Linked DNA regions of Elephas maximus indicus. The protein of the gene in region 3 binds, or shares a complex with, the protein of the main gene of each other region. Links are inferred from orthologs where the notes say so. Each region holds a gene or a part of one and is shown on either strand. Other genes may lie near its edges. The genes, in order: SHANK1, PAK1 and ARHGEF7.

Region 1 (10,471 bases), on a different chromosome or scaffold from region 3:
CTGAGCCGTCGCCTGCGCCTCGAAGTCGCGCGAGAGGAGGAAGCACTTGTGGCCCAGGCGAACCCCCTTCAAGCAGCCTGTGAGCGAGATGGAAAAAGAAGGGGCGGGGTCAGAGTCCCCGGGGGGCGGGGGAAGGCGGAGTCAGAGCCTCTGGGGGCGGGGCTGGGGGAGGTGGAGTGAGAACTGCTCGGCCTCCAGGGGTGGGGCCAGACTGTCCCCGGAGGAACTGGAGGGGGCGTGGCGCCGGCTGAGTGGGGTCTGCGCCGCCAAAAGCTGCGAGCGCCTCCTCCAGTGCCCCTCCTGCTCTCCGCATTCACCCTTCCAGCTGTTCTACCCTCCCCATCTGCCAACGCACACCAAATCTCCAGGGACCCTTTGCCCCTGACACTCCGGGTCCCCCTCTAGCCTCAGAACTCCCCCCCCCGACTAGCCTCCCACCTCGCCCCGGTCGCCCACTTTTCCCCCGCCGGGTCTGGCGCGGACTCACCCTCCAAGCGGCCGTGCTGGCGCTCTGCGCGGCTCTGCGCCTCCTGCAGGGTTTGCACAGCGTCGCGGGTGTCGCCCGCCGCCTCCCGCAGCTGACGCAGCCCCCGGGTCAGTTCGGCCACGCGGGTGTCCAACGTGTGCAGACGGACGTGCAGCTGGTGCAGGCCAGCGTCCAGGCCGGCCAGGCGGCCCACTGCGGAGCGAAGGGGTGTGCGCTGGGTGGGGGCTAGGAGCGGGTTCCGGGACCCGAGTACTTGGGGAGGGGCGGGGTGAACACCTGGGGCTCCCAGGGACGAGACTAGGGGGACCCCAGGACTTCTGGAAGGTAGGGCTCAGTGGCCGGGGCTGCGGAAAGGTCACCAGACAGTGGATTGTGGGTTCATTTTTGTGAAAGTGGTCACCGAGGCCTGGGGACAGGGCGGGGCTTCTGGGTACTCACGAATGTAAGAGATGGCGTCCTCAGGGGTGGGAGAAGGGCTGGGGCTGGAGGAGGGAGTCAGGGTTGCTTCTTCCTCCTCTTCCTCTCCCTGTCCATCCTCCTCTGCCCCCTGGGCCTCTCTGCCCTCAGAGGTTCTGGAAAGACTTTCATTCCCTCTCCCAGCAGGCAGCCCCAGGGCCTCCTGTAAATGCTGGAGCAGGCGAGAGGAGGTCAGGGCCGCTGGACCATACCCCCCCATTCCCCACCCTCCCCTTGCCAGCCCTGAACTTTAACTTGCTCTCTGAGCCAGAGTCCTTTCTCTGATCCCGTCACCCCTATCCTCTGTGCCTATTTCTTTAACTCTGGAATTCCCCCCTCTGGAGCCTAGGACTCCCCCATACAGACCCAACACACCCCAGCTCACCTTCAGCATCAGGGCCTCCCTTTCCCGTTCCTCCTCCTGGGAGCCTCCCCAGCCTCCCTCCCACTCCCTCTCAGCTTCCTGAGCCCCATGGCCATAGCCAAGAAGCTGGGGGACCACCAAGGCCCCAAGGAGCCAGGCTGTCCTCATCGGACTAGGCTTGTGGCACCCAAGGCCACAGACGTCCTGCTGTCTATAGGAGTCTCTGGAGACTGGACTGTGCCCTGCCCTGTCTGCAGGTCACTGGCTCCCTGGTCCCTGCCTCTCCCAGCTTCTCTGGACTCCTGTCCCTCTCCTCCCAATTCCTGTCTCTGTTCGTTTGTCTCCTCTGTGTGTGTCTCTCCCCGCCCCTCTTGGCTCCCCGGAGGCCTGCCTCTGTGGCCGGAAACCTCCAACGTTCCAAAGCCTGGATCCGCCTGCCTTTGGTCTCCTTCACACACACCCCTCTTTCCACTTTCCAGAGCTCGGTCCCTCCCTGCTCCTTCCTTTCTACCCTGGCTCAGAGGGCCAGGAAGAGCCTGGGACTGGCTTTCTTCGAGGGTGGCAGGCCCAGCCTGGGCCAGCACCAGGGCCCCTCAGGACCAGGCAATGGTTTGGCCCTGTCCCCTTCCCCTCTCTCCCACCCCCAGCCATTCCTGAGGAAGGGGTTTCAGCTAAGGTTGTTATTACCCCCAGCCACCATCGCCCACACATCCCAAGAGAGAGATCTCTCCAACCAGTCTCAGGCTCCAGGGTGATTCCTGCCCTCAAATCTCCTATTCCCACCCTCCAAGCCCTTGTCCCAGGTGCGTGTATGTGGGTGAGTTATGCCTGTGGGGACACATATGTGTCCCAGGGTTCATTTACCACATTTTACTGAATGCCTCCTGCAGACCAGACCCGGGCCAGGCCGTGCTGGGTACTCCAGCTGCTCACGGACAAGTGGACTTGGACAGACAGTCCCACTTGGTGAGAGGCTGGGGCTGAGGGGTAGTAGAGGAGGTGGGGGTGGAGGAGGGAGCAAGCAGGGAAAGGTAGGGTCAGGACAGGTTCCTTCAGAAGGTGGAGGAGATGCTGGGCTCATGGAGAGCTCTGAGCATTTGGCAAGGTGCCTGTCTCCTGCCTGGACCACTGCAGTCGCCTCCTCCCTGCTCTCCCCCTCCTTCCTCCAGAGCCCCTCCAATCCACGATGCTTGCCGCAGCCAGAGCAATCTTTCCCACCAGTAAGTCAGATCACGTCACTCCCCACTCCCCTGCGCCCCCAGCTTCCCATCAGATGCAGGAGTGGAGCCAAACCCAGCCTGGCTAGCCTGGCTGAGCTGGGGAGGATGAACCCTTTGCACCATCTCCCCTCCCCTCACCCCCCAGCTCCAGCCACACTGGTCTCTGCTATTTACAGAATGCCAAGTTCACCCCCACTCCAGAGCCTTTGTGCCAGCCATTGCCTCCTCCTACACGCTCTTTGCCCAATTTCTTCTCATTGTTGAGGGCTTTCTGCCCACCTTAGGTCCCTGCATGGTGCAAATGGTTTGGGTTTCAATGTGACTACTACTGCCCTGGTGGTGCAACAGTTAAGTGCTCAGCTGCTAACCGAAAGGTTGACGGTTTGAACCCACCTAGCGGCTCCATGAGAGACACAGCTTAGGAAACCCTATGGGGCAGTTCTACTCTGTCAACGGGGTCACTAAGAGTCAGAATTGACTCCATGGCACCTAACAAAACAACACTAATTGAAGGTGACAGTTTGAATCCACCCAAAGGTGATTTGGAAGAAAGGCCTGGTGATCTGCTTCCATAAATCTTACAGCCAAGAAAACCCTAGGAGCTCAGCTCTACCCAGTACCCCAGGGGGCTGCCGTGAATTGGAACCGACTCAGCAGCAGTGGGTTGGGTTTCAGTTTTTCTGCCCACCTCATTTAAAGAAACTTCCCCTCCACAAGTTGTTTCTGTGTCTGGGGTGTCCTGGGGTCTCCGTGAGTCAGAATCAACTTGAGGGCACCCCGGTCTTGTTTTTTCAGAGGAGTCCCTAGGTGGTGCAAACAGCTAATGCACTTGGCTGCTAACCAGAAGGTCAGAGGTTCAAGTCCACCCAGAGACACGTTGGAAGAAAGACCTGGGAATCTATGTCCAAAAGACCGCAGCTATTGAAAACCCTACAGAGCACAGTTCTACTCTGACGCCCTGGGGTCTCCATGAGTCAGACTGGGCTCTGCAGCAGCTGGTTTAACTGTTCCAGAATAGCTCAGGGGCTGTAAGCTGGTTAAAATTGGGGGTCTGGGGAAGCATCCTGAGGCTGTGTTTCCTGGCAGGGTAAGAGCTTGACCAAAGGTCAGTCTCCCTAGCCTCCCTCCCACCCCCCTCTTGGCCCCTCTGAGCCCCACAGCTAAAGCCAAGGAACTGGGGAACCATCAGGGCTCCGAGGAGCCAGGCTGCCTGCATTAGACTGGACTTGACACACCCAAGGTCGCAGATGGGCTGTTCAGGTGACACCCCGAGTCTCCTGTAGTAGGTGGCGGTGGCAGTGGGGGAGGAGGTGGAGAGGCCAAGCCTGCTCCAGCCAGGCCTGGTGAGTCATCCAGGGCTTCCCCAGCCACGGCTGAGCTGGTTTTGCCAACAAGCATGGAGCACCCTAGCCAGGGATCACGGGGCCCACTTGTCAAAGGACGAAACCGAGGCTCAGGGAGGGGAGATTGTGGCCTTCTGGAGGTCACCAGCATGGCGGCAGCTAGCCAAGGTTTCTGGCTCTGAGCAAGAGCAGGGCATCTGCCCTCAGCTGCCGGGAGCCCCAGGAGGGGCCTTGGAAATGAACACATCCAGCCTTCGGTTTTCCAAGAAAGCTTGCTACACAGCAAAGGGCAGTGTGACCTTGGTAGGCTGCTCACTAGAGCCCCAGCCTCTCAGGGCCCAGAACCCCTGCATAGGCCGGGAAAGGCCTTGTAAACTGTAGAGAGCTGTGCAACCTCTTTCACTGCTGGCACCAACACGGGCAGCTGTTCTCTCCCCAGGCCCAGCTGCTCACCACCTGGGCCGGGTGTGCATCAAAAGCAGGTCTTTCTGCTCTAGCTCATGGTGGTGGTGGTTGGGGGGGGGGGAACTCTGGAGTGCTTGTAGCTGTAGGTACACCCAGAGGGTGCCTGGAACTGTAGGTGCCTGTGCTCAAGCTGGTGGCCTTGGAGGTCCTGTTGGGGCTGGGGAGACAGGTGGCAGCCTGGGCCCCCAGGACGTGCACTCACTGCCCTCTGACACCTGCCCTGTGCCTGTGGGTGTGTTCTGGGCATGAATGAGCTATCTGCATACACTATGTGTGCTGTGTGCATGTGTGCACATGCGAGCTGGATATGTCTGTATATGCATGGGATGAATGAGAATGTGCAACTACGTGTGTGCCAGGCAGGATGGACTAGTGGTTGAGTGACAGCTTTAGAGCCAGCCTGCTTGGCACCACCTCTGCCTAGCTGTGTGACCTCAGGCAAGTTACTTGGTCTCTCTGAGTCTCAGTTTCCCCTTCTATAAAATGGGGATGATCAAATTTCCTCACCCATAGGGTTGTGTGAGGAGTAGATGAGTTAACCCAGAGCCTGGCACACAGGAAGGTCTCTGTAAATGTCAGCTATATTGTCACGAAGGGGAGCTAGGCCATGGCTGTGGTGGGCATCTGAATTCGTGTGTGCGTAAGTACCTGAGTGACAGGTGGGGAATGAGTGAGCTGGGAATGCATGCATCCATCCCTTACAGCTGGGTGCCTCCTGTTTCGGGCTGCAGATCTGGGCATGAATGTGGCGATTTGCGCTGTGAGGAATGGGGGATTACATGTGCGTGCGCACAGGCAGCAGGTTTGCCGTGGCCCATGAGCTGATATGCCTGTGTTCAAGCTGGGTGGGTTTGGGTAAGGTGCACCCAGGTGCATTGTGTTTGGGTGTGCATGCCCTGCAGGGCTTGTCTAAGTGGGATGTCTGCCTGGGGGCCCCCTGCTGTGCCTGTGTTCAAGTATGCCACCAGGTGTGTCCACATGTGCCCTGTGTTCCCGTAGAAGGGGTGTGTGTGTGTTTGGGGAGAAGGGGACAGGGATCTACAACCCTCATAATCCAATTTGGGGTGTAGATCTCAGCAACAAATATTTATTGCACCCGACCGTGCTTAGAGGGGGTGAGCGGCGCTCTGGGAAGGGGCTGCCCTGGGGTGTGCATGGGGTACCCCAGGGGGGTGGGGCCCGTTTTCGGGGTATGGAAGCCAGTGGGGGTGGAGTCAGGGTATGGGGACCCGGTGGCAGGGAGGAGTGGGGGGGAGGGCTTGGAGAGGGGGTGGAGCCAGCGGTGGGGGGGATGGGCGAGGTTTGGGGGCGCAGGGAGGGGCGATGTCTCCTCCGCCGGCTCCCGGAGGGAGGGGAGAGGGCGGAGGAAGGGGAGGGAGGGAGAGAGGGAGGGAGAGAAAGAGACAGGGTGAGGGAGAGACAGCGAGAGCGAGAGAGCGAGAAGGGAGGCAGAAGAGGCGCGGAGCGGGCGGCGGCGGCGGCGGCCCGAGGAAGAGGAGGAGGAAGACAGGCGGAGACGCGGCGCCCGGAGCGGGCCGGACCGAGCCGGGGGCCGGCGAGGAGGGGCGCGGCGGCCGCGGCGGAAGGGGGGGCGCTCTGCGGATGGCCAAGCCCGGTCCGCGGGGGGGGGTGAGGTTCTCGGCCCCCTCGCCCTCCCCCCCGGCCCCCGCCCGCCCCCTCCCCGGGCCCGCTCGCCCTCCGGGGCGGTGGGGCATGGCCTGAGGGTCCCCCGTCTCCGGGGGGGTGGGGGGTGGGGGGAGGGGGGAGGGGCCACGGGCGCCGCCGACCGGGACTCTGCAGCCCCGCCAGGCAGGTAAGGGGGCCGGGGATCCGGGGTTTGGGTGAACGGGGGGGCTAAGGCTGAGGGAGGAGGCAGGGGCGCCCCGAATGTCCTTGGCCGCGCGCCGGGCTCCGGGGCCTGGGTGTGGGGTGTAGGTGAGGAGGGGAGCGTTACCCGGGCGACGCCAAAGTGGGTTATGCCCCAGTCCCCCGTGTCCCGTCCCAGATGACAGCCGGGCTGGGAAGATGCACCCCTATATCCCGCCAGCAGCGCCCCCAGCCCGAACCCGCCTCCCGGTGCTCCAGGGCCATGGGCTCGATTGCCGTGCCCGCCTCCTGGCCCTGCCGGCCACTCCCCCGCCTCACCCACCCTGGACCACATGGGCTCCTAGCCCCCTCCTGCGGTCCCACAGCTCAAGGCCCTCTCCAGATCATCCCAATTCCCACCTCGGCGAGGGGTCTCGGCCTTTGTCTCTTCGCCCCCTTCGACCCTCTCACACTCCTGCTTCTCTTTCCAGGCGCCTCCTATCCCCTCTCCACCCCTCCCCATGCTCCCGCCACCCCCACCCCGTCTCTGTTCCTTGCTCCACCGGCCGGCGCGCCCCCTCGCCTCCCGCCCCCGAGTCCCGTTCCCGGTGCCCCCGCCCCCTCTCTCCGGCCAGAGCTCTCCCCCACCAGTGTCTCGGCCTGAGCCCCAGTGCCTTCTCCCCGCCTCTCCCCGCCTCCATTCATTCTCCCGGGCCGGCTCTCGGGCCCCGCCAGCAGCCCCCCGTCCCCTCGCAGCCTCCCAGGGCACCCCCTCTCTCCTCTTCTCCACCCCCCTTGCCGATTCCTCAGCCCGTCTCGGTACCAGCTGCGTGCCAGCTATTCTTAGCCGAGGAGCGTTTGATTCATGCCGCCCCGGCGGAGTGTGCCCGCTCCCTCCCTCGGGGCCTGAGGGGGAGGGGCCGGCGCTGGTCCAGGGGCTTGGGGACAGCCGCGCGCGCGGGGGGCCAGGGCCGGCTCTCCTTTCATCCACTCAGTCACCTCCTTAGTGCTGAACTGAAGCTGAGGGTCAGCCAGGGTCAGTCAAGGGGGAGTGGCTGCGGGGCCCCAGGGCCGGAGGTGGGACGTTGGGTGAGCGCCGGGAGAAGGGTTAGAAGGAGACCGGGGTCCCCGGAAGGGCAGGGTGGAGCAGCGCTGTTGGGTACCTGGAGGGGGAGGGGGCTACGAAGCGCTGGCCCCTCGTGGGGGAGGGGTTGGCCGGCTGGTGCTTAGATGCTCGCTCGCCTTGGCTCTTGGAACTCTCCTGCCCCCCATACACATTTTGTCTTCCCTCCCCCACCCCTCAGCCCATCCCCACTCCCCCAAAGTCAGCAGTACCCTCCACTGCTTCCCATCTCCATGGCAACCGTGCAGGAGCTGGGCCTGGCGTGGGGGGGAGGGACCAGACCAGACATCCTGGTTTCCGGTGCTGGGGTGGGAGTGGGGGAGAACATGGGGGAAGAGGACCCCACTTGGGACCCATCCTTATAAGGCCACCTCAGGAAGAACAGCGGGGGGTTGCAGATGGCCTCCCAGCCCAGTCCCCAGACCCTCACCCCACTTCTTAGTCTCCCTACCAGCCCTCCAACCCCCCCACAGAGTGGAGCCACCAGTACCAGTCCATGCCAATCCACCCGCCAGCAGCGCTAGTCCTGGAACAGACCCATAGGTCACCCGCAGCCGCCCGACACCGATCCAGGCCACCACATCTCTGGTCTTCCCGGGGTCAGCCTCTCGCCCACCCGCACGCCCTTTCAGGATACTCCCAACTACCTCCCTAGGCCACCTCTGGTGATTCCCTCAGGAACAGCCCACTCACGATGCCCTGCCCTGTGACACCCCATCTCGGTGCCCACTTGCTTTCCTGGGACGGTCAATCCCTTAACAGCTCTGTGCACACACACGCTGGCAGCCACACGCCTGTGGAGTCACCAGCCCCACCTGCTCCAGCACCCGCTCCTCCCGCCCCAGGCTGCCAGCATCTCCGTCTCTCCCTTACTACCTCGCAGCCTCAGCCTCCCCCCAGCTCCCCAGGAGAAGAGGAAGGGAGGGCCCAGGGTGAGGGGCCAGGCCAGGGCCAGGAGGGCAGGATGCCGGCCGCTCAGTCCACCTGTCTGTCCTCTGCTAATTTTAGCTGCCTTTTCTGTGGCCTGACAAAGTGGGCCAGTAGCTCCCGCGGTGATTCTGCGGTTTCTGGGACACAGCGACGCTGGGTCAGCGGCAAAGTGGGGCGCAGGGGGGCGGGGGGCTGCGAGGAAGGCCAAGGGCAGGGAAGGAGACATGTGCTGGGAGCGTGGCCGGGCTGGGGGTGTGTGCGTGTGCGTGCGCGTGCGGAGGCGGCCGAGGGGCGGAGTGTCTGGGGGTGTGCCCAGCCTACTTCCTGCCGGCAGATATATGCAATGAGGTGCGCCCGTGGCCGCTGGTCCCGGGTCCTCTGAGGGGTCCCAGGCTCCTAGTCTGACGGCTTCCCTTGGCCCCCGCAGCCGCCTGTGATGCTGCCACCCCCCGTCGCCCCGTGGCCCCACGATGCCCCACAGCCCCGCGTCCAGCGAGGACGAGGAACGCCACAGTGCCAGCGAGTGTCCCGAGGGGGGCTCAGAGTCCGACAGCTCCCCAGACGGGCCCGGGAGAGGCCCCCGGGGGACCCGGGGCCGGGGCAGCGGGGCACCTGGTAGTCTGGCCTCAGTGCGAGGCCTCCAGGGCCGCTCCATGTCTGTCCCCGACGACGCTCACTTCAGCATGATGGTCTTCAGGATAGGCATCCCGGATCTGCACCAGACGGTGAGTGACCGCGGGGAGGACAGGGGGACATGGGTGGACCTCTGATCCTGGGTGCCCTCCCAGGAAGCCCCTTTGTCCCCCTCCTGCCTTCAGTACCATCATCGCCCTCCCCCAGCCCTTCATCTCCTCCCAACCCACCTCAGGCTCCTCCCTGGCCCCTGACACACCCTCTTCCTGGCCTATCCCCTCCCCCACCAGAAATGCCTGCGCTTCAACCCCGATGCCACCATCTGGACAGCCAAGCAGCAGGTGCTCTGTGCCCTGAGCGAGAGCTTGCAGGACGTGCTCAACTACGGCCTGTTCCAGCCGGCCACCTCGGGCCGTGACGCCAACTTCCTGGAGGAGGAGAGGTTGCTGCGCGAGTACCCCCAGTCCTTCGAGAAGGGGGTGCCCTACCTGGAGGTGAGGCCCACAGTTCCCCACGCCCTTTGCTGACAACACGAGGAGTGTCCCCCAACACATCTACCCTCTCCTCCATTTTATCCAAGACCTAGGGGAAACCTAGTGGGTGATTTCAGATCTCAGTGGCCTTGGGCAAGTCCCTTCCCCACCCTAAGCTTCTCCTAACCCACCAGATAGAATGGGGGCCTCCCAATTACAGGGAAGCGGATAGATGTAAAAGGTCTTGCACATGATAAGCATTCTAGAACATTCACTGCAGACTCCTACTTCTTCATGATAGAGGCTGCAGTGTACATACCCCACAACAGCCTGGCACTCTCAGAAAAGCCAGCTACCACCCCTCTGTCCGCCCAGCTAAGGTTCCATGGCAGTTTCACATCCTTCCTCTCAACCCTGAGCTGACCGCTGGCTCAGAAGGGGCCCGGAAGCATGGGGCAGGCCCTGCTCCCCCATCTTCTCCTCCCCAGGCTCCTGATTCTGAGTCTCTGTGTCTCTCCTCCCACCCTGCCCCTGGCCTCAGTTTCGATACAAGACCCGAGTGTACAAACAGACCAACCTGGATGAGAAGCAGCTGGCCAAGTTGCACACGAAGGTGAGAGAACAAAGCTGGGATTTATTCCCCATGCCCCTCCCCAGACCCTCTCCCCAACTCTCCACGCCTTCCCAACAACCTTCCATATTCCTCAACCCACCTATTCCTTTTCCAGGGCCCCCCACTTAACTTGGGATGCCCCATGCCATTTGGGATAACCCAAAGCCCCCCCTTCTCCCCATCATACCCGATTTCGAGTCATAGTGACCCTATAGGACAGAGTAGAACTGCCGCATAGGGTTTCCAAGGCTGTAAATCTTTGTGGAAGCTGACTGCCACATAATTTCCCCTACGGACTAGCTCCTGGCTTCAAACAGCTGAACTTTAGGTTTGCAGCTGAGCGCTTTAACCACTGTGCTACCGAGGCTTCTCAGAGCCCCTTCTTAATTCCTCATTCCACCCTTCATCCCCCTGCCCAGTCCCATATCACCTGGCTCCCATTTTGTCCACCCTTTGACTTGCCTTTCTCATCTCCTCCAAGTTCTCCTGTTCAGGCTCCTTTCCCTGTCCTTGGCTTGTGACTCTGACACCCAGTTTCTCCATGCTTAGGGCCCATTT
Region 2 (9,999 bases), on a different chromosome or scaffold from region 3:
AAGAATCCAGAGAAGGCAGCCTTAATAGCCTACTAGTCAGGGAAGAGTTTCTTGAGAAGGTGACATCAGAGTTTATTTTTGTCGAATAACAATAATGATAGTTACTAAATGCCTACTATATAATTTTAATCCTTATAAAAACCCTTCAAGGTAGTTATAAATATCTTCCATTTTATATGAAGCTTAGAGTGATTAGCAACCAGGTTGCTAGTAAGTGGCAAAACCAGGATTTGAACCAAGGTGAGTCAACTTTTAAACTCCCCCTTCTATTTCTTTGCTACACCACAGGGTTCCACTAAAAATAGTCTCTCTTAGCTTCTGTTGCTGTTATCGCTAGGTGCCATCAAGTAGACTGTGATTCACAGCAACCTCATGGGATAGAGCAGAACTGCCCCATGGGGTTTTCTAGGCAGTAATCTCTATAGAAGCAGGTCACCAGATCTTTCTCCCAAGAAGGCGCTGGGTGGGTTTCAAACCCCCAACCTTTCCATTAGCAGCTGAGTGCTTAACTGTTGCACCACCAGGGCTCCTTTCGTATCTTACCGCAGCCAACTACTATCTATGTGATCTTAAATAACTACATCTTTCAACCTCAGTTCTGAGCATGGGGCTCAATCACCAGTCCATAAAGCCTTCTCTATCTAGTCTATTCCTTTTCCTCTATTCCTTAAAGATTGAGGCTCAGTTTTAAACTAAGCAGTCAGCAACCGCAGGCATTTCTTTCAGGCTTTAGCATCTGAGCCTTTTTCAAGGCCTGAAAATGCATTCAGGAACAACCATAACAATATTGCAAAGTGCTTTACAGTTTATAAAGTATTCTCATACTCATTATTCCATTTGATCCTCACCAACCCTATGAGATGTTAAGTCCTCATTTTACTGAGGCCAATGGAAGTAAAATGCCTAGCTTAGCTCCATCTGGTTTCTGGATGCTACAGTCCACCATAAATTGAATTTAAGAAAATGGAGGGGGGAGGAAAGGGAGGACGAGATCAAATGACTCATAAAGGCAGCTCAACACCAAGCCACCCAAGTGGCCTGGGGCCAGATGTTAACAGAGACCAGGTGTGTTTCCCTTTCAAGGTAATGTGTGTTTGACCATTGCATAGCGACCTATTATGTGTAACTTTTCTTTTTTCTACCCAGCAGCACCTAGAGTTCAGCCCAAAAGACCCAAAACCAACCCCGTGGCCGTCGAGTAGATTCCAACTCATAAGGACCCTATAGGACAGAGTTAGAGCTGCCCCATATAATTTCCAAGGAGCAGCTGGTGGATTCCAACTGCTGATCTTTTGGTTAGTAGCCATAGCTCTTAACCACTGCACCACCAGGGCTCCTCCAGCCCAAAAGGTAGGCAAAAAGCGGAATGTAAGAAAACTCTTAAACTGGATGAACGGACACGGGGAACCCGGGTATAGTGGTAAAGGAAGAGAGCACCAACACATTGCGGGGATTGCGACCAACGTCAAAAAAATTTGTGTGTGCAAATTTTTGAATGAGAAACTAATCTGCACTGTAAACAAAGCACCATAAAATTAACAAAGGAAAAAGAAAACTCTTTGTATACTATCTGTACACATGGGGTTACGAGATAAAATGATACAGAGAACAGGCATCACCTTTAAAGAAGATTTGAGTTTATGTTCTAGCTCTGCATCTGACTTGCTGAGTCAAAAGTTCCCTCCTCTGCACCACCACAGCCCCTTGTGCTTGCCTCTAGATACTTACCATATGAGGTCACAGGTACCCACACTCTTTGACCTGCACTGGATGGAGGGCAGTCACTGAGTTCAACTTCCACTTTTGTATCCCCAGCACCTGATACCATAACTAACACAGATGGTTCAGAGAACATCTGATGATGAATGGATGCCTTATTCAAAGCTTTTTATATAGATATACATTTCATATTCTGGCCTAGATGGTGAGCACCAGAAAACAGCAACATTGTCACTCTCATCTCTGCTGCCTCTCTCACTCACCCACTTTGGGGACACTACTCAAGAAAATTTTGCTGAGTAGAAATAAACCAGTCCAAAAAGCAAGTCTGCATAGGGGAAGAGAATTAACCTATATGGTCCCTTTCCCAGACTATAGTCCTTCCCTTGCCACCCCCTCCCCACCCACCCCTACGCCCAAATAATCCCTATCTTACCCAGTCACCCTCTTCTTCAAAAGGCCACTGTTCTTCTCCCCCAGAAGAACCTAATCCCTCCTAGGTTCCCACAGGGTTTTCCCCTCTTCTTTCCTGGGCTCATGGGTCAACTTCATTTCTTCAGCAATGTCTCAGAGCTGCCAAAGAGTGTTTGGTCCTCCCCCAGTCACTCATCTCACTAAAGGGAGTTTGAGCCTCTGCCCAGCCCTACTGGACACACTTGCTCTCCTCCAACTCTAGACCTCAAGCCTCTGACTTCCCATTTAATTTACTCCCTACAGCCCACCTGCTGGAAACTCTGGTGGTGTAGTAGTTAAGTCCTGTGGCTGCTAACCAAGAGGTCAGCAGTTCGAATCCACCAGGCGCTCCTTGGAAACTCTATGGGGCAGTTCTACTCCGTCCTATAGGGTCGCTATGAGTCGGAATTGACTCGACAGCAGCAGGTTTGGGTTTTGGCCCACTTGCTGGACCCCCAGGGAAAGAGGTTGGGGGACAAATCCAAAAGGAAGGATTACTGGCACTGGGAGAAGACAGAATTTGGAGGAGAAATCTCATAGCAAGGGAGTTAGGTAGGAAACAGAGCATGCTGAGATCTCACAAAACACCACAGCAAAAGGTCCCTACAAACCAGTAACCTACTAATAATGAAAAAGTTTAACCAGAAATTGTAAGAGGGAAAGAGAAGCCTAACCAAGAATGAAGGACTTAAGAGAGGGAAGGAAAAACTGGCTATGAAGAAGAGATAAGAAAGGCAAAGCGTGAAGGGACCAGGAAAAAGGGAGGAAGCTGGGGTGGGAGAATAGGTGGGTAGGAAGAAGGGCAGGAAAAGATCAGGAGGAGGAAGCTGAAAGAGAAGTGGGGAGAGCTAAAAGAGGCAGGACCAAGGAAAAACCAGGGGGAGGAGGAAAGTTCAAAATAATCTAGGTAGGTTAGTAGAAGGCCTGACATGTGTTTCTTGGTCCCAGATAATTAAGAAGGAAGAAATTACAGTGATTAAGTCATTATACAGCCCCAAGGCTTGTCATTAACTTAGCAGGGAAAGGAAGGGGCTTCACACAAGACAACATAGTTTAAAGCAGCTTTATACACAATACTGAAATGGGCAGCTCAGAAAAAAAACCATTAGCATACCTTGACCTGCTTCTTCACAACCCCACCTCCCTATATCCAAATATCAGCATTCTCAGCCTCTGCCTTGCCCATGAAGTCACTGGGTCCTGGGCAAACCAGCAAGATGCATTCAAAAAGCTAGCTGGAAGAGATAACGCCAAGATCTGCTTCCCAATTTCGCCTCTGTCTCCTACAGTGTAAGGGCACGTTCCCAAGACTCATTCCAGGGCTTTCGCCTGCTCATCTTTCCAAGACACTTTGACAGCCTGGGAAAGCCAGAGTTACAAGCAGGATATCAAGTCTTTCATTGCAGAAATAAAGAAACTGAGGCCCAAAAAGGCTGTCTGAACCAGTACCAGCCCCCCCCCCCCCCCGCCAGGTCTCCCATTTCCCAGTTCACTTATCAGTCACGTAGAACATCCCCCCTTCCCCCGCTCAGGACCCAGAGAAAAGCTCCACGGTCCCAGCAGGCGAGAAGCTAAGCGAAGGCAGAGGTGAGCATCACCCAGGCCACCACGCAAAGGGTACTAGCAGACGAGCGCGGGCTCCCGCAGCAGAGCAGTTCCCCAAAAGCGCAGCTTCCCCTTCACACCCCGGCGAGAGCTCTGATGCCAGTGTAGGCCTAACCCTGGGTGGGATCATCAGAGGGTTCCACCCTCTGCCCCTTCTCTCATTTAGGGCCTCTTAAAAGAAAGGGAACGAAAGGAGGCTTAAAATTCCGGTCTCCCCGGAAGCTGGCGGAGACCCCCAGCGCAAGCCTAGCTGGGCACGCCCCAGGCAGGGCCGGCATTACCTGGTGGGGGGCGCCGACCCCGGCATCCCTGGCGACCTCTTTCGTCGCAGACCCGCAGCTCTCCCGGCCAGCACGACCGCGCAACAGCCAGTCTCCCCGGCTCCGCTCCTCGGCTGGGCCAGGCTCTGGGCAGCTGGACCGCCCCAGCTCCCGCGGTGCAGCACGCTCGCGCCCTCGCAGGGCGGCAGCAAAGGCGAAGCAGAAGGGGCGGAGAAAGAAGGCAGAGAAGGAGGCGGGAGGAAGTACCTTCCCAATCAGCTATTCTCCACCACCCGGTCTCCCAAATCAAACCAAATCAAACCACTGCCGTCGAATCGATTCCGACTCCAGCAGGAGGTAATTTCCCGCCGGAACCGGGCTTTCCAGGTTCTGTCAGAGTCCTGGGCGCGCCCCAGAGTCAAGGAAGAGAACCAGAGCTTCTCTGCGCCTCAGTTTCTGCAGCTGGCTCTGGCTCTGCACGAAGCCCTCTTCCAGGTCTTCTGAAGTCAGATGTCCTACAATTCCATCAGATTGGGCTGCAGTAAAAGCGGTTCCGCACCCCCCACACACACATCCCACACCCCCAAAACGTGTCAGGTCTAATTCTAATGCCCCAGGGAAAACACTGGGTGGGCCCTTATGGCTGTTTCAAAGCAAAGCAAGCTCAGCAGCAGCAGCTACCGTTTAAGTGCTAATTGTATACCAGGGGCTTTACAAATATTAGTCTGTCTCTCATCAGCCTTGTGAAGTGGGGACTACACCAGTTCACACACAACAAAACTGAGGCCTGGGGAGAATGTGGTTTCATATGGTATTTCTTAAGCACCTATTGTGTCTCAGGCACTGTAAGGAGCCCTGAGCTGAACAACACCAAATTGCAGGCACAACACATTCCAAATGCTCCCCGTTGTTGTTTATTGTCATCTAGTTGATTCGTGGAAACCCTGGTGGCGTAGTGGTTAAGTGCTACGGCTGCTAACCAAAGGGTCAGCAGTTCGAATCCGCCAGGCGCTCCTTGGGAACTCTATGGGGCAGTTCTACTCTGTCCTATAGGGTCTCTATGAGTCGGAATTGACTCGACAGCACTGGGTTTGGTTTTTGGTTTGGTTTAGTTGATTCGTAAGGTCGCTATCAGTAAAAAAAACTTGACAGCAACTGGTTTGTTTTTTTGTTTGTTTTTTAGTGGATTCAGACTCATGGCAACCCCAAATGTGCAGAGTACAACTGCACTCCATAGGGTTTTCAAGGTTGTGACCTTCTGGACGCTGATTGCCAGGCCTGTCTTCCAACATGCCTCTGGATGGGTTCGAACCACCAACCTTTCAGTTAGTAGTCCAGTGCTTAAACACTTGTGCCACCAAAAAACCAAACCTGTTACCATCGAGTCGATTCCCACACATAGTGACCCTAAAGCACAGAGTAGAACTACCCCAAAGGGTTTCCAAGGAGTCCCTGGTGGATTCAAACTGCCAAACTTTTGGTTAGCAGCGTAGCTCTTGACCAGTACACCACCAGGGTTTCCTTTTGCCACCAAGGGACTCCTCAAGTGCTCCCTGTTGTTATCATGTCCCGTCAAGTAGTTTCCAACTCATAGTGACCTTATAGGACAGAGTAGAACAGCCCCCATAGGGTTTTCAAGGAGCGACTAGCTGGTGGACTTGAACTGCTGACCTTTCAGTTAGCAGCCAAGCTCTTAAGCATTGTCCCACCAGGGCTCCAAATGGTCGCTAGGAGGTAGTATTACCTCACCGCCCCTTCAGAGAGACTGCAGGAGTCAGATTATGCAGGATCTCTTCCAGGTCACAAATAGGAGTTTGGATTTTTTTATACATACGATGGGAAGTCTTTGGAAGATTTAGTAAAGCAAAATGAGAAGATCTAATTTGTTTTTAAAAGCTCACTGACTGCTGAATGAAGAATGGAGAGTGAAGGGAAGATGGAAACAAGAAACAAGTTAGTAGATTCTTTCAGAGTTCCAGGCAAAAGATGATGGTAATGATTTGGACTAACATATTGGAAGAATAGATGAAAAGAAACAATTATGTAATAAAAATACAGTTTGCAAGGAGAAGCTGCACAACTTGGTGATGGGTGAGAGAAGGCAGTGACTTCTCCAAGACTACACAGCTGGTAAATGGCTGAGTCATCTGAACCCTGGTTTGACTCTAAGCCTACACTTTAGTTCTCTCTGCCTTGGTGTTAGTCTTCTCCATATCAACTACCACTGACACAGACATAAAATTACTGTTAAATTGCTATAAAAGTTTTCTAAACACTTTCAATTTCTATGCTTACCACACAGCAGACTGGAAAAAGTTCAGACCCTACTTTGAGTAGCGCTAGTCTGAGGAACCCTCCACTAAACTCAGTCCTATTTGCAATGACCTTCTTACTACCTGGTTCCCTGAGAAGACATGATAGTGTAAGTGAAGTCTGTGGGAATAATCATTGCCTTTTTTTTTTTTTTTTTAATTGTACTTACTATTTCCGATAATTCAGTCTACAGCTGCATTACCTTTTTAGCCACTGAAATACCTTTGGCTGACATTGAGCTTAGGCAGCTAAAACCACCAGTCTCTTTTTCATAAGAACAGCATCATTCTAGGTCTCCTCCAGTCTTCCCATATGTCCTCATTTCTTTGCAATTTAAAATGCACGACTTCACTGTCATTCAATTTTATATTGTTGGCTTCAGCCCATACTTTCAAGCTCTCTCTCTGCTATCTAGCATATTAGTTTCCTTTGGAGCCTTTGTTACCTTCAAATCTATCATGTATGCCATCTCTTCAAACATTTATCAAACATCTACCATGTGCCCTTGCCTGTGCTAGGTTTTCAAGATTAAAGGATTAAAGATGACCTAGAAATGGCCTGGAATCCCTGGGTGGTACAGTTAATGCACATGGCTGCTAACCCAAAGGTTATAGGTTCAATTCCACCCAGAGGCACCTTGGAAGAAAGGCCTGGTGATTTACTTCCCAAAAATCTGCCATTAAAAACACTACGGAGAAAGTCTATTGAGGAGGAGCCAAGATGGAGGAATAGACAGACACCTCTGGCGAGCCCTCTTACAACAAAAACCAAAAAAAAAAAAAAGTGAAACAAGTATATTTATGACAACCTAGGAGCCCTGAACATCAAAGGCAAGCTTAGAAAACGAACTGAGGGGCAGGGGGAGGAAGCAACGGTTCAGAAGCAGAGAGGAGTTACCAGACCTGAAACACAGGGAGCCCTCAGGCACCATTCCTGGAGGCGGCTGCGGCAGGCTGGTACTACCGTTCAGCCACAGTTTCCTCAGGGAAAAGCAGCCAGCCACACAGCCTACTCACACCTCCAGAACCAGAGAAGAAGAGCACTCTCTGCAAAAGCTCGGTACATGCGTATATTTTATTGCCCCACCCCACCCCGCCCCCAAGCTGGCTTCAGAGGCTGTTTTCCCTGGACCTGAGGTAGGCCCTGTTGAATGCTTAGAGCCATCCTCCCAGCGTTGGAGAAGGAGTAAATTTGCAACTGGGGGAGAAGATAATTTGCCAGCTCCACTAACCAGGGGACCTCAGGACAGAAGCAGCTCCTGTACAGGCATAAACAGTCCATGGACTTTGAGCACCTTTCCCCTCTACATGGACCTGTGTGGGCCTATTTAACAATAGGCCCTTGTTGGCACACTACAACTGTTTCAGCTGTGCGGCGGAAAGGTGGGTGTTTGATGTTTGACATTGCTTTGCCTATTAAACAGGGTCCTCACCTACTCACATCAGGGTCCTAAGGACTGGTAGCTCCACTCAGGTTACCCAGTCACCTGCAACATGGGTCCAAGGATAACTGGTACCTCCCAGTCCTTACAACCAAAAATATTGAGTGTCCATGGTCCATCTACAGAAGCCACCCACCTGTATGCTGTAGGGAACAGGGACACACTTTCCTCAGAGACACGTGGGGGATGATTCTCAGCCCCCTGCCTTGTTCAGAGCATGACACTCTGCTGCAACCAGATACGGGTACCTACACCAATCACCCCTGCCCCTCTAAAACTATAGGACAGAGCCTGTATCACATACTTGATGACCAGCTACCTGGACACCTGAGCTGAATTCATACAAGAAAAGTGAATGGATTCCTAGACTGATATACCTGATAAGAGCTCTAGCCATCTGGGGACTGGATTCAGTGCTACAAAGGTGAAAATAATCAAGCTAGCTCACTCCAGCAACCCATTTGGGCATATCGAAACAAAACAAGGCAAGAAGCTATGACACGATAAGCAACCATAAAATAAACTAATACAATAACTTATAGATGGCTTGGAGGCAACAGTCAATATCAAGTCACATAAAGAAATAGACCATGATCGCCTCAACAAGCTCTCAAAACATAGAATCAAGGGATCTTCTAGTGAAAGTGCCTTCCTGGAATTACCAGAGGCAGAATACAAAAGATTAATATACAGAACCCTTCAAGACATCAGGAAGGAAAAGAGGCAATACAGAACAAGCCAAGGAACACACAGATAAAGCAATTAAAGAAATTTTAAAAATTATGCAGGAACATAATCAAAAATTTAATAAGCTGGAAAAAATCCATAGACAGCAATCAGAAATTCAGAAGATTAACAATAAAAGTGCAGAAGTGTACAACTCAATAGAAAGTGAAGGAGCAGAATTGAGCAAGTGGAAGGCAGAATTTCTGAACTTGAAGATAAAGTACTTGGCACCAATATATTTGAAGAAAAATCAGATAAAAGAATTTTAAAAAATGAAGAAAACTTAAGAATCGTGTGGGACTCTATCAAGAGAAATAGCCTTCCAGTGATTGGAGTACCAGAACAGGGAGGGATAACAGAAAATACAGAGAGAATTGTAGAAGATTTCTTGGCAAAAAACTTCCCTGATACCGTGAAAGCTGAGAAGGTATCTATCCAAGTTGCTCATCGAAAACCGCATAAGGTAGATTTTAAAAGAAAGTCACCAAGACATGTTATAATCAAACTTGCCGAAACCAAAGATAAAGAGAGAATTTTCAGAGCAGCTAGGGATAAACGAAAAGTCACCTACAAAGGAAGGTCAATAAGAATAAGCTCGGACTGCTCGGGAGAAACCATGCAGGCAAGAAGGCAATGGGATGACTTATAAAATGCAGGAAAAAAATTGCCAGCCAAGAATCTTATACCCAGCAAAACTGTCTTTCAAATACGACGGTGAAATTAGGAAATTTCCAGAAAAACAGAAGTTTAGGGAATTCGAAAAAAAAACGAAAACTACAAGAAACACTAAAGGGAGTTCTTTGGTTAGAAAATCAATAATATCAACCCAATACTAGAGCACTGGGCAGAGCAGTCAGAAGTCAACCCAGACAGAGAAATCACAAAAATAAATCAAGATAAAAATATGCTCAAAACAGGGAAACAGCGATGTTATTAAGTAAAAGAAGACAACATTAAAACAATAAAGAGGGACTAAGAAACGTAGTCACAGATCTTCCATATGGAGAGAAAAACAAGGCAATACAAAGAAATAAAAGTTAGGTTTAAATTTAGAAAAATAGGGGTAAATAATAACGTAACCACAAAGGAGACAAACTATCCTACACATCAAAATAAAATACAAGAAAAAAATAGAGACTCAGCAGAAACAAAATCAACAACAAGGAATATGAGGAAAGGACAATATATAATCTACTCAGCACATAAAATTAAGTGGGAAAAGCAACTGTCAACAACACACAAAAAAAAGATGCCAAAATGATAGCACTAAATTCATACCTATCCATAATTATGCTGAATGTAAATGAACTAAATGCACCAATAAAGAGACACAGAGTGGCAGAATGGATTAAAAACCACAATCCGTCTATATGCTGCCTACAAGACACACACCTTAGACTTAGAAACAAAAACACACTAAAACTCAAAGGATGGAAAAAAAATTTATCAAGCAAACAACAATCGAAAAAGAGCAGGGGTGGC
Region 3 (10,296 bases):
TACAGCCCGACTCAAGGACAATGGTGAGGAAAAATCATCCCACTGGACAAAGCTTTGAGCAGTACATTGGGCTATCTCCTTGTACAGAGGAAGAAGCGGTCATAGGATATTTGTAGACTCTAGGACAGTAGTGGATGGTTTGGCTCATTGTTTAGGTGCCTGAAAGGGACAAGATGGGATGACCTCAGGGAGGTCTGGGCAAGAGGCATGCAGAGAACTTACGGGAATAGACACAAGATGTGTGGATCTTTGAGCCTCATGTCAACGTTCATCAGAGAACAGCCACTGCAAAAGCAGCAGCCAGGTGGACAGGATGACTTTTGTTTGGAGGGCAGCCAGCCTCAGCCTTTGGGCCCACAGACAGAGTAATTCCCGTGTGCAAGAGACCTACGCCATGGGCTGTCTCTCACCGAGGCTGACCTAGCTACTCACAGCAGAGACAGAAGCTAGCTCCTTGATATGCAAACATCATTTGAGGAAACCTGCCAGCTGCTTGGTAGCAAGTTGATTACGTCAGACCTCTTGTGCCCTAGAAGGAGAAGCAACTCATCTTACTGGGATTGATTGTTTTTGTGTACATGAATTTGCTGCCCCTGCCTGAAGAGTTTCTGCCAGCTATTTGTGGGCTGACAGAATGCCTAATTTCTTGACACAGGACCCCACATAAGATGGTCTCAGACTAAAGGACCCATTTTATGACGAAGGAGGTATGACCGTGGGTGCTTGAACACCAGAATCATTTGCCCTGCCATATATACATCGACTGGAAGCTGCCAGCCTGATATGATGACATTGGACTGGCTTTTAGGAGGCTCATCTACGATACCAGCTTAGGGATGACTTCCTGCTGTGTTAGGGACCTGCCCTTCAAGATGTGGTAGGCCACTGAATCAATCGCCTTTAATGATGTTGTGCCCCCAATAGCTAGAAAGAATGTGTCCAGGTACCAGAGGATAGAATAGCATCGGCCCCTTTTACCATCTCTCCCAGTGATCTACTTGGGGAATTTGTTCTTCCTGTTCTTGAAACTTGAGGCTCTGCTGAATTGGAGGTCATTGCCCTGGGGAGACCTTCAATCATAGTAGGTAACGATCAATGGATAAATGTCTCAGTTCTCATCTTCTGGTTTGAAGATTCTGAGACATCTTCCATTTTGTTTCTTGGAGGCTCCGCAGGGAATTGCTCACTTACATACCCCTTTATTCACTTATCCCACCACTCTATGTCTGTTTGTCTTACTGTGGTGGCTTGTGTGCTGTTGTGGTGCTGAGAGCTATGGCAAGACTTCGTCTGACTTTGGACATGTCATCGGGAGGGACCAATCTCTGGAGAAGGACATCATGCTCGGTAAAGTAGAGGGTCAGCAATAAAGAGGAAGACCCTCAGTGAGAGGGATTGACACAGTGGCTGCGACAATGGGCTCAAGCAGAGCAACAATCGTGAGGACAGTGTGGGGCCGGGCAGGGTTTCGTTCTGTTGTACCTCGGGCTGCTGTGAGTTGGAACCGACTGGATGGCATATAACAACGACATTCACTTTTCTCCCTCCTCAGCTTCACCTTCTCCTTCTTCACTTTTGGTTCTTGGAATCATCTCCCAAATAAACTACTTGTACCCAAGTCCTTCCTTGAGGCCCTGCTTTTGGGAAAACCCAAACTAGGATAGGTATGTTGTTGACTTTGTTTCACCGTATAGTATATTGGTAAAACATTTTCTAATCCTGAGTCATATTTCAGTCACATATGTTGATAAACTATTTTCTTGCTTTGCATCCATCATATTTCGTATTTGGTCATATTTATGCCAGACAAATAGAACAAATTTTCTCAAAATGAATGCCTTTGATAACATACCTGTAATCGACACGGTGAGTTTCATGGAACTGCCTCTTACTGCATCCCTCAGTCTAGGCGATGACCCAATTCAATAAAAGTGATCCAACAGGGAGCCATTACTACACAGTCCTGGTAAATAACCATCTGCCTGCCAGCTTAAGGTTGGGGTAGATTTTAACATATTTATAAGACCACCCTCCAGGCAACCGCACACAAACAGTGTCCTTCAGCCAAGCTTTTGATTGATAGTTACTGGTTTGCAGCTGAGTTTGTGGGTGTACTCCTAACAAATACCTGGAATGTGGCTATCAGCCATTAAGAGGTAGCCAAGCTACAGGGTCGCTATGAGTTGGAATCGACTTGATGGCAATGGGCAAGCTGGGAGTAAAGCTGAAATTCTCATGAGAACTGTGGGAGCTAAAGGACATGCTTGCATTGAAACCATTCTACACTCTTTTTTTTAAAGTAGGTTTAAAAATTTTTTTTATTGTAATGAAATAAATATAATAAAACATTTGACGTGTCAACCATTTTTACAGTGACTTTGACTGTATTTACCATGTTGTCTACATCCTTTTGAGGGTAAGGCAAAGGAATATCCATAGACAGGGCCAAGTGGTCCACAGGAAGCGATGGAACGTGTTTCTAGTCCAAGGGACCAGTTAGTGTTGTGTTCCAGAATCCTACTCCACACAGCATGGCTCTAGAATTGTAACTGGGAAAAATCTTAAGGCAGGTTTAACCACATGCCCACGTTGGATGTTACATCTCAATTAAACACCTGGGGAACATCTAGCTTTGAACATCTAGAATATATTCGAAATAAAGTTTTTGAAATGCCACTAGTAAGTATAAAGCACTTAAAAGTTGGGGTACTTCTATTAAAAAAGACCAGTTGTACACCAATATTCATTGTGACATTATTCACAATAGTCAAAAGGTGATGTAATGGATTGAATTGTGTCCCCCCCAAAAATACATGTCAACTTGGTTAGGCCATGTGTACTTGTCCTCCATTTTGTGATTTTCCTGTGTGTTAGAAATCATAATCTCTGCCTGCAGTTAAAAGGATTACTCAGGTCACCTCCCTGATACTGAAGGGAGTTTCCCTGGGGTGTGGCCTGTACCACCTTTTATCTCTCAAGAGATGAAAGGGAGGCACGCAGAGAGTTGGGGACCTCATACCACCAAGAAAGCAGCACCAGGAGCAGAGTGTGTCCTTTGGATCCCTGTGCCTGAGAAGCTCCTTGACCAGGGGAAGCCTTCCTCCAGAGCTGACAGAGAGAGAATGCCTTCCCCTGGAGCTGAAGCCTTGAATTTAGACTTGTAACCTACTAGACTGTGAAAAAATAAACTCTTTGTTAAAGCCATCCACTTGTGTTATTTCTGTTATGGCACTGCTGGATGACTAACACAGGTGGCAACAGCCTAAACGTATATATAAAACGTGGTATATACAATGGAATATTACTCAGCCACAAAGAGAAATGAAATCCTGATACATGCTACAACGCGGGTGAACCTGGAAAACGTTATGCTGAGTGAAATAAATCAGTCACAAAAGGACAGGTAGTGTATGATCCCACTTAAATGAAATATCTAGAACAAGTAAGTATACAGAGACCAGAGTTTATTCGTGGTTACTAGAGGTAGGCTGGAAGGGTGGGAAAGGGGAACTCCTTGCTTAGGAGACATTGCCTTTCTGTTAAGGGTGATGGAAAAATCTGGAAACAGGTAGTGGTGATGATAAACATAATTAATGTCACCGAATTGTTCATGTGAAAAGTGTTGGAATGGCAAATGGGTTAAACAAAACCTGTTGCCGCCAAGTCAATTCCGACTCATAGCAACCCTATAAGAGTAGAACTGCCCCATAGAGTTTTCAAGGAGCACCTGGTGGATTCCAACTGCCAACCTCTTGGTTAGCAGACGTAGCTCTTAACCACTGTGCCACCAGGGTTTTGCTACATGTATATTTACTATATTTACCACAATTTAAAAAAAGACTAGTTATAGTACTTGGTCTGTGGGCTTTTTTTCTGATAATAATTGGATACCTAGGAACACTCCCTAGAGCTTGTTGTTTGTAGGACCATTTTATTAAGTCAGTTTGAATCTTACTCTTGTTTCCCAGGTATATGCTGCACCAGACCTAATTTTAATAGAATTTGAAACTGTAGTGACTATACATGTACTGAAAATTATTTCTCCCATTCGGCAGTAATAAAAGTAAACAGGAATCTCAAGACCACCCTCGGGTTGTTGATACTTTCCCACTGACAGACCCTTCAGGTACAAAACTTTATAAACCAAAACCAAACCCAGTGCTGTCAAGTTGATTCCAGCTCATAGGGACCCTAAGGGACAGAGTAGAACTGCTTCCAAGGAGCGGCTGGCAGATTTGAACTGTTCCCAGCCATAGCACTTAACCCCTATGCCACCAGGGTTTCCTAACAAAACTTGATAAAGCTGTTAATTCCTCTGCTATTTTCTGGAGACCTTATAGGGAAGCAATGTAGAGAGCTAGCTAGATAGACGCCTTGGCTCTGCAGTCAGATATCGTGGGTTCGAATCCCATCTCTACCACTTAGCAAATAAATGTGACCTTGGACAAGTGGCTTCATTTCTTTGAGTGTCGTTTCCTCCTTTATGAAATGAGGATAATGAGATAACTTCACACGGTTGTGCAGCGATGGAGTGGTGTGGGTGAGGGCGCTGGACATGGTACCTGACTGTGGGGATGCACAGTGAATGGCAGCTGTTATCACTGTGTCTTTATTGGCCCTCATTGCCCAGAATTCACACTGCTATCCTAATTATTTTGTGTTTGTGGCAAGACAATTAGGTACTCGAAGAGGAAAATTAATGCAACTAATGACTGCAGTAGAAATTGCGATAGAAATAATCTGTGTCACAAAACAATTTGTGCACAGATTTTTAAATGAGAGACTAATTCGTGCTGTAAACTTTCGCCTAAAGCACAACAAACAACAAACACCTCCGGAAGGAAGAAGAGGAAGAGGAGAGTTAAGCTGCTTTCATTATTTTCCAAAGTTTTTTTTTTTTTTTTTTTTATGGTTTCTGGCTTTATCATTAGGTGGGTTAATACATGTGCCTGGCACACAGTCAGCTCTTTGTAAGCGACTGCTAATATTATTTTAAACTCAGGGAGAGTCACAGCAAGCAAACAGAGAAAGCACTAACAGACTAGGGGCAGAACAAATGGAAATAAAAGGAGCAGAGAAGGCTTTCTTCAAAAAAGAGGCCCTATTTCTTCTAGAGCAATATAAATGTGTAAGCGTCACCAGCTGTTTAGAGAAATTTGCTCAGTGCCCTGAAGGCTGGTGTTTGAATTCCTTAGGCCTGTACCCGTTCCAGGCCTACTTCCACCTGACGAGCTTCTGCTCCTATGCAGTCAGCCAAGCGCCCTACTTTGAGCGGTTCTCATATTCCTGCTTGATCGTCTGCACAAACCCACTCTAGGCTTATGTTATTTTCTTGACTTTCTTCCAACAGTGTTTGAAACATCACCATCAATTTAATGTGGGAGAATTCCAAGGTTTCCGGTCCTAGGAAAATGCGCTCCCTTAACGGTCCTCGCATATATTTAGCCACCCACCTTCCAGAATTTGGTGAGGTCATCCGCCGCATTAACCAGCCCCCCAGCAGGGGGCACGCGAGACACAAGCACCACGGCGTTAAATTGCGGTGCACGTTTAAAAGGACAAACAGCAGGGTTAGGAAAATCAATTCCTTCCCGAATTAGACCCATGTGGTTACATACTTAGGGTCCTGGTGGCTCAGTGGTTAAAGAACTCGGTTGCTAACCAGAAGGTCGGCAGCTGCCGGAGAAAGATGGGGCAGTCTGCTTGGCAAAGATGACAGCCTCAGAAACCTTAAGGGGCACTTCTACTCTGTCCTATAGGGTCGCTATGAGTCGGAATCGACTCTACGGCAGTGGGTTTGGTTTTTGGGTTTGGTTACATACTTCATTATAATTTACGTTCTGTAATTATTGGCTTGCAAGGTAGCGAAGACGTCTTGTTTTCAGGACCCTCCCCCCCTTCACTCCCCTCTTGAAATAAAACTGTCAAAGATATGAGAATTCTGGGAAATATTTAATAATTTAAACTTTCATGATTAAAAAAAAAAAAAAAAAAAGGTTTCCAAGTCCTCCAAGGAAGGGGGTGGGGCGGCGGAAGGGACAGGAGAGCGAAGACAGTCCCGGGAGGCGCTTCCATCCAGATGGTGTCGGCTGCGTAGACCCGGAGCAGGAGCGCAAACGGCTCAGACGGTGCGCGGAGGGGCCAGCACGTGGTCGCCGAGGGGGCAGGGCGGCGCGCGGGCTCAGCTGGTAAAACCACCTCGGCGTGTGGCTGAACCCAGACTTCTGGAGGTCAAAAGGACTCTTTGGGTCTGTCGCCTACAAAGCAGCTGTCGAGGTAAGAGCGCGCGCGCGCACAAACACGAGATACTGATGACAACGGTTACGGAGGGGTGGGCCGACGGGCGCCTATCCACACAGCTAGTCTGGATTTAGCTGCCCCCTAACGGGCAAGCACCTGTGCGTAAACACACGCCCCGAGGCATCGGTCACATTGGCGCTGTGTTCCTGGTACCATTTGTTAAATTCGGCGTAGGTCACATTCACATCACGCGCAAAGCCTGCGCAAAAGCGCACGCAGCGTGCCCACTTGTCCTGGGGGCCCAGGGCAGCGAGGACCCATCTGTCGTGCGCGGCGGTGGCGGCTGGGACGCGCCGAGACGGTGACAGGATGTGGAGCGGGTTGCAAACGGCACCTTCTTTTCTTCTCGTTTCAGTGATGTCATTGGGCGACAGCAGCTGAGGGCTGGGAGGAGGAGGAAGAGGAGGAGGAGGCGGCGCCGGGCCGCCGCCGCTGCAGGTTCATGTGCACATAATGAAAAGGCACTTGACAGTCTGCCAAAAGGCGAGCCAGGGAGAGGGAGCGAAACTGGACCTACTGGATTTCGCAAAGCCAATCGTCGTCATCTGCATCTACATGGGGAAGGAGGAGGAGGAGGAGGAGGAGGTGGGATCGGCGGCTCCAGCCCCGGCTGCTCCAATGTGAAACCACGAGCCAAAAGGGGGCTCAGAAAAAGCAACGGAGAGCGAGCGGGCGGGCGAGGGAGGAGGGAGAGGCTCGGCGGTGCAGCATCCCCCTTGGTTCCCCTGCGGATTTCTCCTGCTCCTCCTCGGACAGCTATGAATTCTGCTGAACAGACCGTTACGTGGCTCATTACCTTGGGGGTGCTGGAGTCGCCCAAAAAAACCATTTCGGACCCGGAGGGCTTTTTGCAGTCGTCTCTGAAAGATGGGGTGGTCCTCTGCAGGCTGCTGGACCGCTTGCTCCCCGGGACCATAGAGAAAGTAAGTGCTATGGCAGCTGGCGCGCCGCCCCCGCCGCGCGGACCCCCTGGCACCGAGCGCGCCCCCGGGGCCCGGCCGCTGCGCGCCGCCTGCGGGCTGGGCGCACAAAGCTCGCCGCCCGGGGTCCCCGGCCGCCGCGGCCCGGGATGGCATAGGAGTGCCCGGCCGTGCGGACCACCTCGCGCCTTGGCACCTGGCGACCCGCGCGGCGGTCCCCGCCTTCTTCCTGTGCCCCGCGGGGAATGGAGCGCCCCGGGAGGAAGCCTACGCACTTTCCTTTGTGCGCGGACCCCCTGGAAGCCCGGTTGGCGCCGGGCAGGAGCGTGCGCTTCTCCCCGCGCACAGCGCTCCTCGCCAGGCAGCCGGAGCTCGGAGGGCGCCATTGTGTGGGGCGGGCCGGGGGCGCGGGGCGGCGGGGCGGGGGCGCGGGGTCGACGGGCCGGAGGCGGCCGGCCGGGGGCGCGGGGCCGAGGGCGCGGGGCGGCGGGGCGGCGGGGTGGCGGGGCGGGGGCGCGGGGCGGCGGGGCGGGGGCGCGGGGCGGCGGGTCGGCGGGCCGGGGGCGCGGGGCGGCGGGCCGGGGGCTCGGGGCGGGGGCGCGGGGTCGACGGGCCGGAGGCGGCCGGCCGGGGGCGCGGGGCCGAGGGCGCGGGGCGGCGGGGCGGCGGGGCGGCGGGGTGGCGGGGCGGCGGGGCGGCGGGGTGGCGGGGCGGGGGCGCGGGGCGGCGGGCCGGGGGCGCGGGGCGGCGGGCCGGGGTCGGCGGGCCGGGGGCGCGGGGCGCGGGGTCGGCGGGCCGGAGGCGGCGGGCCGGGGGCGCGGGTCGGCGGGAGAAAGAGTTCTTTTACATGGTCGGAAATAGGATTTCTGTACCGCCCTGACGGTAACTTGCTCCTCGGTGTTGTGAGGTCTGCCTAGCTCGTTTCCAGTAACCTGATGGTAAAACGGTCTTCCAGTACCACGCACAGTTTTCTCTGATGGCTTTGTTTGAACAATTCTTCTTCTTGGCATTTCATCCTTTTTCTGTTTAATTGATCGATTCCCGTGCATTTTTTAAAAGACGCATTCATCAGTAGCTGAGGGCTGGGCTGTGAAACGGTTTACTACTTTCCCAGCGAAAAAATGCCTCCTGTATTCCCAGGCAAGAGGATTGCAGAAGCTTGAGTTAAAAAAAAAAAAAAAAAAGCCCTGGCATTCTTCGAGACTTGTGTAAAATTGCAGATTTCGTTTTCAAATTCATACCTGATTCTGAACAGAATCGATAGTCCTAAAAGACCTTCCTTCCCGTTACTCTTGACTAGTGGTTTCCCCGTGGCTGCAGTGTGAACTTTGACCTGCATTTCTGTAAGTGATTAAAGCTTGTTTTCAGCTCCCAGGAGCTCACGAAGCATGGGGAGGGGACGTGAGAGCTTCGAAGGAGGTTGTATTCCCTCTATTTTAATATATTACAATTTTATCTCAAATATCTTGCCAAGATAGAATGTTAGGCTCCACAGTTATTTAAATGATGGCACATATTGGAGTGAACCATAATTGGGGAAACCAGCTTCATTTTCTAATGGGGGCACATTGGCCCTTATACACAGTGGAATGCATTTGTTAATAATGAAATGTTTTACTTGAAAAAGTGAAATATTTAATCTTACTCATAACTTTGAACGCGTTCTGGCATTACATTTTAAATGTCAGAAAATCTTTAATTTTGCATACATATTAGTTTTAGGTGTCTTTCTTATTTGGAACGTATTTATGACAACAATCTGTCCATGAAATAAAAATGTTGCTTGTAAATGAACCAGGTGTCACAATAAAATTATGATTTAAGGTGAGAATAAAGGGCAGGATTTAACTCTGGAGGCACTCAGGATGCTCTGTTGTCACCTGGATATACTACTTCTGGAAACAAAAGACAGATGTTAAAAAAGCACTGAAAATGCGGAAGTTTACCATCGTAGATGTAAAGAAAACATTGCTCCAATTCTAAGAGCGAAGCTTTAAGTAACAGTCTGCTGTGTTGATAAGAACATGTCGATATCGGCACATATGTTATTCGTGGTATTAAAGACGTTAATATCAATTGGTAGGCTCCAGTAATTATTTTCTTTTAAATTCTGGAAAGGTTTTCTTAGAAAACTGTTTCAATGCTTTCATCTCTAAAAGAACAAAGAGAACTGTGAATAAAATGTTTAACTTGCAGAAGCCAAAGTGAGACAACCGAACAGAGTCTAAAACTAGAGTCATTTGGAAATTTCTTATATTAAAGCCATTTGTTTTTACCTCGGCCCCAAAATAGTTTGCTTTAAACTGACTGTATGGCAATGAAAGCTTAACATCAAAGTAGCAAATTTTAGAGCTATGAATTCTCTGTGGTTCAAAGGTAAGTTTTCAGGGTAAAATATTAGCCAGTCTTTGCCTCCCCAAAACCCTTGGGTTTCAGAAGAATCATGAGGTTTTTTTCCATTTCCAGAGAAGAGCTATTTGCTTGAGCTTTCTGATGTTTGCACGGATACCAACTAAAATACGCCACAGAGCACACATGCTGAACAAGTTTTACTGAGATGTGGGAATGTGAGCATGAGGACATTTTTCCTTAAAAAGAAACATTTGGAAACTTAACTGAATATTCATGTGGAACTGAGAGAATCTTAACTTTCCCCCTTTTGACACATGAGCACACAGACAACTAGCTAATGCAGTAGGAGCAGCTGTAATTGCGTATTTGCAAATTCACAATTTAAAACTCACCATCAGACCGGGGGATACGGACAAAATCAAGAAAAGCTGTTGAGCTGACTCAGGTTTCTCATATGTCTTCTATTAAAAAAACCCTTTTCTAGTAAGTGTCTTCCATTATGTTCATTTACTCTATTTTAGAGCTAATAAAAGGGCAGAGGGAACTGAGAGGACATTCCTTTAATTTCAGATTTTTCTACTCGTTTAAAAAAAAAAAAAAAAAGGGTTTTCATTCAGGTTCCCTTTTCTGGAGTTCTACTGGTTTTAAGGTGGAAGGTAAGCCAGTGAGAAGAGGGAACTATAAATTGATGTGAGCAGTTCAGAAAAGAGAGACCTTTAATTAT

What was found.
Region 1: the proteins of ARHGEF7 (region 3) and SHANK1 are in contact, whole or in part, in a crystal structure (PDB 3L4F), measured with the Rattus norvegicus proteins. The link is inferred for Elephas maximus indicus from reciprocal best matches to the Homo sapiens genes ARHGEF7 and SHANK1. Residues at the interface, in XP_063131056.1 of Rattus norvegicus: Asp735, Ala737, Trp738, Asp739, Glu740, Thr741, Asn742, Leu743; in NP_113939.2 of Rattus norvegicus: Gly673, Phe674, Gly675, Phe676, Val677, Leu678, Arg679, Gly680, Ala681, Lys682, Phe696, Glu703, His735, Arg736, Val739, Ile742.
Region 2: the proteins of ARHGEF7 (region 3) and PAK1 are in contact, whole or in part, in an NMR structure (PDB 1ZSG), measured with the Homo sapiens proteins. The link is inferred for Elephas maximus indicus from reciprocal best matches to the Homo sapiens genes ARHGEF7 and PAK1. Residues at the interface, in NP_001106983.1 of Homo sapiens: Lys192, Phe193, Phe195, Thr198, Asp201, Glu202, Glu217, Gly220, Trp221, Trp232, Pro234, Ser235, Asn236, Tyr237; in NP_001363202.1 of Homo sapiens: Thr185, Pro186, Pro188, Val189, Ile190, Ala191, Pro192, Arg193, Lys198, Arg203, Ser204.

What each region holds. Positions count from the first base shown.
Region 1 is NC_064829.1:97,699,602-97,710,072, forward strand, and holds the start of SHANK1 (SH3 and multiple ankyrin repeat domains protein 1), read left to right. Parts: upstream 1-6,096; 5' UTR 6,097-6,148; intron 6,149-8,533; exon of another isoform or gene 8,534-8,621; 5' UTR 8,622-8,664; coding exon 8,665-8,919; intron 8,920-9,117; coding exon 9,118-9,321; intron 9,322-9,841; coding exon 9,842-9,913; intron 9,914-10,471. Other genes in the region: CLEC11A (C-type lectin domain family 11 member A), read right to left, coding at 1-77, 488-679, 926-1,115, 1,329-1,475. UniProt on the Homo sapiens protein: Seems to be an adapter protein in the postsynaptic density (PSD) of excitatory synapses that interconnects receptors of the postsynaptic membrane including NMDA-type and metabotropic glutamate receptors via complexes with GKAP/PSD-95 and Homer, respectively, and the actin-based cytoskeleton.
Region 2 is NC_064825.1:44,659,198-44,669,196, reverse strand, and holds the start of PAK1 (serine/threonine-protein kinase PAK 1), read right to left. Parts: upstream 4,237-9,999; 5' UTR 4,059-4,236; intron 1-4,058. UniProt on the Homo sapiens protein: Protein kinase involved in intracellular signaling pathways downstream of integrins and receptor-type kinases that plays an important role in cytoskeleton dynamics, in cell adhesion, migration, proliferation, apoptosis, mitosis, and in vesicle-mediated transport processes.
Region 3 is NC_064841.1:77,018,166-77,028,461, forward strand, and holds the start of ARHGEF7 (rho guanine nucleotide exchange factor 7), read left to right. Parts: upstream 1-6,105; 5' UTR 6,106-6,276; intron 6,277-6,645; exon of another isoform or gene 6,646-6,655; 5' UTR 6,656-7,058; coding exon 7,059-7,223; intron 7,224-10,296. UniProt on the Homo sapiens protein: Acts as a RAC1 guanine nucleotide exchange factor (GEF) and can induce membrane ruffling. Functions in cell migration, attachment and cell spreading. Promotes targeting of RAC1 to focal adhesions. May function as a positive regulator of apoptosis.